Caenorhabditis elegans: one gene and its partner. The protein of the gene in region 1 interacts with the protein of each later gene in a pairwise test. Each region holds a gene or a part of one and is shown in the gene's direction. Other genes may lie near its edges.

Evidence for each region.
Region 2: the proteins of mys-2 (region 1) and lim-7 interact in a two-hybrid assay, tested with the Caenorhabditis elegans proteins (one large-scale study listed by BioGRID).

The regions. Positions count from the first base shown.
Region 1 is NC_003279.8:14,116,885-14,121,768, forward strand, and holds the start of mys-2 (Histone acetyltransferase), read left to right. Parts: upstream 1-1,868; 5' UTR 1,869-1,873; coding exon 1,874-2,029; intron 2,030-2,152; coding exon 2,153-2,319; intron 2,320-3,062; coding exon 3,063-3,285; intron 3,286-4,363; coding exon 4,364-4,528; intron 4,529-4,884. Other genes in the region: TLC domain-containing protein fld-1, read left to right, coding at 1-6, 55-143, 196-304, 399-519, 823-917, 1,243-1,308.
Region 2 is NC_003279.8:5,714,871-5,719,576, forward strand, and holds the start of lim-7 (LIM/homeobox protein lim-7), read left to right. Parts: upstream 1-1,703; 5' UTR 1,704-1,805; coding exon 1,806-1,941; intron 1,942-3,654; coding exon 3,655-3,702; intron 3,703-3,748; coding exon 3,749-3,813; intron 3,814-4,502; exon of another isoform or gene 4,503-4,652; intron 4,653-4,706. UniProt on the Caenorhabditis elegans protein: Probable DNA-binding transcriptional activator.

The DNA.
Region 1 (4,884 bases):
ACAATGGTGAGGGTTTTCTGCTGAAATCCCCCAAAAAACCCAATTTTTTTGCAGTTTTTCAACCGATTCCTCGGCGTCGTTGTGTTCGGATTGCTCATGGAGCTCAACTCGATTTTCCTGCACTCGAGGAGCTTGTTGAACTTGTAATTTCAGCGATTTTTCCGTGATTTTCAGCCAAATCACCTATTTTTCCAGGTACGGAGTCGACAAGAAGAGCCCATCGTTCCGTATAATCGCTCTGCTCAATATGGTGACACTTTTCGCGTTCCGTCTCTGCGTTTCTGCGTATTTAGTCTATTTTGTGGTGAGATTTTGTGCATTTTTCAGTGGAAAAATCGAGTTTTCGATGATTTTTTCACTAAAAACACGGCAAAATTTGCACAATTTCCATGTTCCAGGTGGTCTCAATTCCGGATCTCGAGTGGTATGTATCAATTATTAACGGTCTAGTCATCGCCTCGCTCGCCTCCACAAATACAGTGCTCACTTACCGGCTTTTGGCAGCTGATGGGCTTTTGGGTGAGATTTTTAAGTTTTTAACTGAAAAATTCGGAATTTTCAGCCGAATTTTAGTCGAAACGCCGAACTTTTGAAGAAAAAACGATTTTTTCGAAGGAAAAAGCGAGAAAAAAGTTGGTTGAGGCTGTAGACTACAAACTACAGAACCAGTATAGCCTCAACCACGATGGTTGAGGCTCAGAGGACTTTGTGTAGTTTGTAGTCTTCGAGCCTCAACCATTGTTTTGGAGAAAAAATGCTTTAGAAAACTCCAATTTTCCTTTTTTTTTTCCTTTTTTTTTAAACAATTTTCGATATTTTCAGGCTCCCGACGTACACGAAGAACCCCCGCAGCTACCGCAGAAACACAAGTTGGTGACGTGGAAAGTGGTCCGCTTAGGACACAAGTTGAGGATGAGGTTCGAAATTTTGGATTTTCTCACCCCAAAATTCATCAGTTTTGCGAAATTTTAGTGAAAATTCGAGAAAAATTCGATGAAAATCGCGAAAATTTCAAGCGAAAACCAATTGGTTGAGGCTGAGCTGAATTTGTAGTTTGTAGTCTCTTAGCCTCACTCAAAGATGGTTGAGGCTCAAAGACTACAAACTACAAAAACATCGATTTCTAGGTCATTTTCACGTGATTTTCTCGAATTTTTCACTCATTTCCCGTTTAGATTTCTCGCAAATCGAGCATAATGACTACAAACTACAATTTAAGTCAATTTATTTGTTTTGTTGCAGGACCATCACACAATCGGAGTGCAAACGATTCATGGAACAACAGAAGACGCGACACAAACTGTTTGAACTCACCCCGCCGCTCCCCCAATTGTACCTATTTATCTGTTAAAAATTGAAATTCTTCGGTTTTTTGGTGATTTTTAAGCGAAAAATCGCGAAAATTTGATAAAAATTGGGTGAGGCTCGCCAAATTTTGTAGTTTGTAGTCTATAGCCTCACCCAACAGATTTTCCACCAAAAATCGACGTTTTCAGTACTTTTTCCTGCTTTTTTTGCCATTTTTTTTTCTGTATCTACCGTAATACTTGTTATTTATTGATTTTTCCCCCCATTTTTTAGCCCCAAATTTTTACCAAATCACTCATTCCATGTCTATCTTGGCCGCGCACCAAAGATGCAAACTGTCATTTTGATGATATCACGAAGTTCCACGACGCTTTTCTCTGCTTACAGTATTTATTTTTTTAAATTTTTTTTTTCACACGAAATTGACTCTAATTTATATTAAAAATACTCGATTTTTGATTTTTGAAAATTTAAATTTTTAAATTTTTAACTGTAATTTACGGTGTTTTATATCGAATTTTTCGACCCGATTTTCAGCCGATTTCAGCAAAAATTTCCAGACAAAATGAGCAAACGAGAGCCGAGGAAACGAGCACACGACTCAACAAATGAGGCAGCTGCTCCCGGCGGAAATGACAGTGAACCCCCGCAACAACAAATAATGCCAATAATTAACAAACGATATATGGTCGAGAAATTCATTATTAATACTGTGAAAAAGGTTCGGAAATCGCTTTTTTTTTTTTTGTGAAAAAATCGATTAAAAACCAGAAATTATTGTTGATTTTTCCTGAAAATTTTCGAGAAAAATCTCTTTTTTTTCCATTAAAAATCAAATTTCCAGGTGGTCGCCGTAATTATACACATTGATTTTCGAAAACCGCCGCAAGAAGTCCGCACGAATAACTATAAATCCATTGAGAATCACGAGCAAGGAGCGAAAGAGCTCATGTATTATGTGCATTATGAGGAGTTGGATCGGAGGAATGATGAATGGATTACGCTGGACAAGTTCGTGTGGAGAAAATTGCAGAAAAATGGGCAAAAATCTATGAAAATCGCGAAATTTCGAGCAAAAACGTATTTTGGTTGAGGCTGAGAAATGTTGTAGTTTGTAGTTTGTGAGCCTCACTCAATGATGGTTGAGGCTCGAAGACTACAAACTACAAAAATAGATAGCCTCAACCAAATGCATTTCGCTTAGAAATTCCTCATTTTTTGCAGATTTTGTTTTTCAAATTTTCACGATTTTTGTAGTTTGTAGTGGGAGAACCTCACCTAGAGGCACTACAAACTACAAAAATATTAGCCTCACCAAAAAATGTTGTAGTTTGTAGTTTTAGCAAAATCTGATAAGTTTTTTTGAAAATGTTTAAAAAAAGCTAAAATTTGCAATATTTTGAGCAAAAACGTATTTTGGTTGAGGCTAAAATATTGTAGTTTGTAGTCTCCGCGCCTCACTCAAAAATGGTTGAGGCGCTGGGACTACAAATTGCTAAAACTACAAACTACAACATTTTTTGGTGAGGCTAATATTTTTGTAGTTTGTAGTGCCTCTAGGTGAGGTTCTCCCACTACAAACTACAAAAATCGTGAAAATTTGAAAAACAAAATCTGAAACCAAATCCATTTCGCATCAAAATTCTCTCATTTTTCGCCGATTTTTCTCAAATTTTCACAATTTTTTGTATTTTGTAGTCACTTAGAGAGACTACAAACTACAAAATTCGAAAAAATTATCGATTTTCATTCAGAATTCTCGTAAACGAAGTGGTAGTCGAGCCGGTGATCAAAGTGCCCACAAAAGCGCCTGTCGAAGATCTACACAAGGAAATTGTCGTCGGACCGCCCGTCATAAAGCCATCTGGAGCCCTAACACGAAGTCAGCGGAGGACATTGGAAGAATATTCACATTTAAAAACGGATCTTAATGATTTGGACGCCACGACCGCCCGGCTAGAACGGGAACATGAAGAAGTACGGGATTTTCTGAAGAAAATTCGAAAAAAATCGAAAAAATTGGTTGAAAATCACAATTTTCTCAATTTCACTCCAAAAAGTGCCAAAATCTGGAAAATTTCATTAAAAAAGTACCCTTTTTTCACCCGAAAAACACGATTTTTTCTCCTTAAAAACTTGGTTGAGGCTAGGATTTTGTAGTTTGTAGTGTATAGCGTCAACCAACATTTTTTACTGTAAAAAAAGTGAATTTTTCAATGGAAAACCCACTTTTTTGAGCTTTTTAATCGAATTTTCAAATTTTTAAGTCAAAAAATCGAGATTTTAAGTCAATTTTTGCATTTGAATAGATTTTTTTCCCATAAAATCCATCCGAATTCCCCCAAAATTCTTTTTTTTTTTTGAAGAAATACGGGACTTTTGAGAGAAAAATCGAAAAAAATCGAAAAATTTGGTTGAAAATCACAATTTTCTCAATTTTCGCTCCAACATGGGCCAAAATCTGGCAAATTTCATTAAAAAACACCCTTTATTACCCGAAAAACACGATTTTTTCTCCTGAAAAACTTGGTTGAGGCTAGGATTTTGTAGTTTGTAGTGTATAGCCTCAACCAACATTTTTTAACTGTAAAAAGTGCATTTTTCAATGGCAAACCCACTTTTTAAAGCTTTTTATCAAGTTTTCAAATTTTTAAGCCAGAAAATCGAGATTTGAGTCACTTTTTTTGCATTTAAATCGATTTTTCCCATAAAATCCACCCGAATTCACCTAAATTCTTTTTTTTTCTGAAGAAATACGGAATTTTTGAGAGAAAATTCGAAAAAAGTCGGAAAATCTGCTCAAAAAAGTGTAAAATCCGCTTTTTTTAATAGAAAAATCAAATAAAAATTGGTTGAGGCTTGAAATTGTTGTAGTTTGTAGTCTATAGCCTCAACCAACATTTTTTCAATGTAAAACGTGAATTTTTCAATGGCAAACCCACTTTTTAAAGCTTTTTAATCAAGTTTTCAAATTTTTAAGCCAGAAAATCGAGATTTTAAGTCAATTTTTGCACTTTTATCAATTTTTCCCCCTAAAATCCTACTTTTTTTGCAGCGTACAAAAGTGAAGAACATACCACAAATAACGATAGGCGCTCACGAGATTCTCGCCTGGTACTATTCACCGTTTCCGCCTGACTGTGAAAATTTGGACATTTATATGTGTGAATATTGCCTACTCTACACACCTCATCACGAACGATTCAAGCAGCACATTGATGTGAGAAAATGCTTTTTTTTTGGCAGTTTTTCCCGTAAAAATAGCCAGAAAACCGGAAATTTGGCCCAAAAATACGAAAAATCGATCCATTTTGTAGTTTGTAGCCTTTTTTCCGCACAAATTTGGCCTAAAAAGCTCCAAAATAAGTTTTTTTTTTTCCCAAAAAAAATTCCGGCTCTGGCTCCGCCCACAAAATGGAAAAAATAATCCGAAAAAGGGCGTGGCTTAGGCTCCGCCCATAAAATGGTTATGTAGTTTGTAGTCGTTTTACTGAATAATTTTCTAAAAAACTCTAAAATCAGCATTTTTCTCGAAAAATCCCATGAAAAACTGCATTTTTGGCCTTAAAAACTGGG
Region 2 (4,706 bases), 8.4 Mb from region 1:
GGTTTTCTCTTTTTTTTTTAGCGAAAATTGATTTCTAGCTTTTCTCGAAGTGTTCAAAAAACTGCAAAACTTACTTTCGTACAAAATGTAGAAATTTTCGAGATTAAAAAATTTAAATTACAAAATTTTGTATTTCGGTCTTTCTATTTCTTCGTGTTTTGGAAAAATATTTTTTTAAATGGAATACGATAAACTATGAAATATAACTTGTAAAGTTTGTTTTCTCTTACACCACAATAGTTGAAAAATGGCTGTAAATTTTTCACATTTCTCCCCGGTTCTAAAAATTTTCCAATATTCTGGATTAATCCAGCATCCATTTAATCATCTTATCTTTCAAATCCTTATCAATCGATGGAATCTACAGTATCCTCGAATACTTGTCCGTTATCACCTTCTCTCGCATGCATGTTCATCTTTTCATTCGTTATTTCACACCTTTTGAGGTATACAGGAAGTGGGGGAATCAGTTAAAACATACATATGTCCACGTGTCGGCTAATTTAAGAGTGCAACTCTATAGAAACTGCAAATTCACTTTTCGTACAATTTTTTTGACTAAAAGAATGAAGAGTTTGCAATACTAACGAAGAAGTGCAATACTATTAGGGACGCAAGACTAATTGGGACTTCAAGTCTATATTTCAATCGATATGAACTCTAAGAGAGACTCAAAAATAAAATAAAATAAAACATATTTCTAGTTTCTAGATAGTTTTCAATAAGGAAAATATGGCGTCCACCAGCCAAAGGAAGAATGAGGGTCAGGTTGAATCCGGATAAGAAGATATTTCCAGGGATAATCTTGTTGAATTCTCATGTTTTCTGATTTCAATTTTTTTTCTCAATTTTTTAAAATATTCATCAATGAACATAATACTTTAAACCTCTGAGAGAACCAGTCAGTTTCTGATTTAAATATCAGAAAAATGATTGTGTTAAAGATCGAAGCAAACATACCACATTTTTTCAGTATTGCAGCCATTTTTTGGAAAAGTTACATGAATAATTTATAGACTCTGAAGATGTTCTACACTTTGTGAGTTTATTGTCTTAAACTGTAGTACGCGGAGATATTAGTATGGAAGCTAAAGGAAACTAGAAAAACATTTGAAAATGTACGAGAAAATTTGACTAAAATATAGGATGGATTTTGAACTCTAAAATCTAGGGTTATGAAATTTAAACGTCCTAAGCGATTTGTAATTTAATTTTGAAACTTTAATTGTGAAACTAAAGTGAGGTCAAATTTCTCACATTACTTTCCTTAATTCTTAATTTTTTCAGGAGCAGACAATTTTGTTCAAAAATTTCGAAATTTTCTAAATGTTTAAATATAATTTTTTGCTCATTACTTCAATCTTGATGAGTAATTTCATAGAATATATTTTGCCAGTAACATTTAACTGTCTCAAAAATTTTTTTGGCATTTGAAATGTCATTTTTTAAACTTTTTCATGATCCAAATAGTTCACACAAAACTGCTTTAATCCAATTAATTACAAATAAAAGAAATATAGGTTACCATATCCACAAAATCAGGATGTTCACACTCTTATTCTATCACTTGGGTGTTCACATCCGGCTGGTTTTCTTCTCACTTCTTTCGTTCTCCTCACTTAGTAGGTGGAGTCTACCAACCAGTCGCTCGTCGTCCGCCCGCTCAATGACTCCGCCCACTTTCTTGTCTCTCCGTGGGTCCCAGGGCTCTCGGTTCTCTTTTCGTTTGTGACACTTCCAACTGTCCTATCTGTGTTTGTGTGTATCTAGTAATCAATCACAAACTTCTATATCTGTTCAACGGCATGAACATCTGTATGCGAAATGGTTATGAGCAATTCTCACTGACATCTCCAGGAACATCGGATCTCGAAATTGGTGGATCATTTTGGAAAGACGAACCGGATACCAAGTACTTGTGCCTTGATTCTCCTGTTGAACGTGAGTGTTTTTTTTTTAATTTGAAAATGTTAAGCGTGGGCCAAAATATTTCAAAGAATTTACATCCGGAAAAAATTTTTTTGTAAATTTTCTGAAAATCACAGCTTAAAAAATTCAAAACAAAAGTTAAGTTAGATTCATAAAATTTCCATTTGAAAAGACATCTAACAGATCTAAGAATACAACACCTTCTCTCAAACTCCACTTAATCTTGAAAAATAAATCTTAAAATGTCAAAATCCCTGCAATAACAAAATCGAAAGAAGGAGAGGGAGAAAATCTGGAAAAAAAGATTATTCGCACTTCTAAGCCTTAAATATCCGTCTATTTTCCCCTGAATTTTGCAACTTTTTTATCTGAAGCTCTGGTGCTCTTCCGATTCTTTTCCCATACTACTTATAGGGATGAGCCAATGAATAAATGAGCAAAGTTCCGAAAGGTGTCTGAACTTAATGGGCTCACTTCCAAAAAATTTTGAAGTCATATAACATTACTAAATTTCTTGGTAGAAAAAACCCATTTGAGCTACACATTTTTCCATGACACCTTGCTTATTCACCAGTTTGGCAAACAAAAGAATCGGGGGGTCTCACACAAAAATATATTTTGTTGATTAAACGATATGATGGGGGTGGGGAACAAATGGGAGGCTCCATCAAAAAGCTCTTAGTTCAATCAAGTTCTGAAAGTTTAAAAGAAAACAAAAATCGCTATTTCTTTCATTCCATTTGTCCCCCTCCTCTTTTACTTTTTTCTTTTCCACCTTCTTCTTGTTGTCTTAAAAACGCATAACTTCATCTGGTCCTTCGATGAAGATCTAAGCTATAATCGCCTTATGCACATCACATGTACATATCCGGTTTGAAGATTTCAACAACCCAACCAGATTTTCTCGATTTTCTTGGCCTCGAAAACTTAACCTAGAAAGTTTTCAAATAAATATATGATATTAATAAAAATTAACTTTTCACAGTTTTGTATTCCGAAAGTTTTTAAAACCTAATTTTCTTCAAAAAAAGTTTTTCTCTAGGTCAATTTTCAATTCTAATTTCAAATCGCAACACTCTCCTCCCAAATAAGTAGTTATTTGCCGCCGCTCCGATTATGATTACTGTAGTGGTGGGGTGTTTATAATTGCTTATATTAAGTAAACTTTCCTTCTTTTTTTGGGATTGTTACTTCTTGTTTGTCAACGGCCAGTTTACTTCCTAAAATAAGATGTCAAATGTTGAACAAGGGGATTATCAATAGTTTGAAATGACTACCTTTAGTTGTTATAGTTTTAAAATTAGAACATTTTAATATGTTATTTTTTAAACAGTAGGAAGCTGTCGACTTTAAATTCTTCCGAATAAAAACGGAGCTCAATAAAATTAATGACGTGGCAAAACAGTGCTGACAGAAGAGGGCAAAAATAAAATAAAAAACGTTTTGGCAGCTACTAACATCCCCAAACACCCCACAAATGAGCTATTTTATGAGTTTTGTTAGGCTCTCCCTGCCTTTCTTCACTTTTTTCTTGAAGCCATGAACCCCTTCATGACACCTAACTGGGTATCATTATCCATTTGTGCGCGTGGCCCTCCCCTCTTTCTATTACTTTTCCCTAAATAAAGCTTGAGCTCCCCTCCTCTCACAAACCCTGTAATCTTCAAATCAAAGTCGACGGGTAATTTGGGTTAGAGTAAAGTTAATCGAGCTTTCATTTTTCAGAACGTCAGCACCAACCACCGATGGCAGTTTGTGCCGGCTGTCGATTGGGTAAGCTCTTTCGGGGACTAAATTCCAAAAAATTATTTATTTTCAGAAATATCAGATCGGTACTTCCTCAGGGTCAATCCCAATCTGGAATTTCACGCTCAATGTCTAAAAGTGAGTTTTTGAACATTTTTATAACTGAAAAATGGTTTATAAGTATCTCGTCTCACTTTGAAGGATTTTATCTCAGTTTGTTTTGAATATATCAAAAATAATAAAAATACACAACCTTTTCGATAGAACAAACAACAACCGAGATACTAATTGAGTGCAGTGTAGTCTCATGGTTTTTTTTCTAAACAACAATTTCGAAAATTACACGGGGGTGGATTTTCACAAGAAAACCTAATTCATTCCAAATGATCTCATTCAAAAATGTATTGCACAATGAGCCCCTCCAACTGTCTTAATACCTTAAAGCTACAAAAGTCCAGTAAAGAGAGAATTTACACGCATGACTTGACACATTGTTTGTTCTTTTATTCAACATTTTGATGTATGTTTCTATATGTATGTAGGATTTCCATTTTGCATATTATTCAGAATTCCAACCTTTTCCCCTTTTCTCTTTTCTGCTCCTTTTGAATTATTCACCAATTTGATACCTTTATTCCGGGTCATTGTACTTTTTGCTCTTGCCCCACGACTTTTAAGCAAAGGACAAAAAGTGAATATTATACAAAAAAGGGAAGGGGGAGGAGAAAGGGCAATGATGATGAAATGAAATGAGACAAAGACGGAAAAAAAGAAAAGAAAAAAATCAAAACGTGTTGACCAGGAAGCATAAAAAGGGGGAGAAGCACGGAAGAGACGGATCAAATTACTGCGCAAATTCGCGCATTTTGTTGATTTTTTGAGTGTGAAGATTGGTGTATACAACTCACTGGGACAGAGGGACCCTTGCGTGACCAGTCAAGGTGGCAACCATCTGTCGTGTTGGAATAGGCGATGAATACCTAAACAGTAGTAGAATAGATCACGCTATTCAGTTAACTATTTACCTGTTT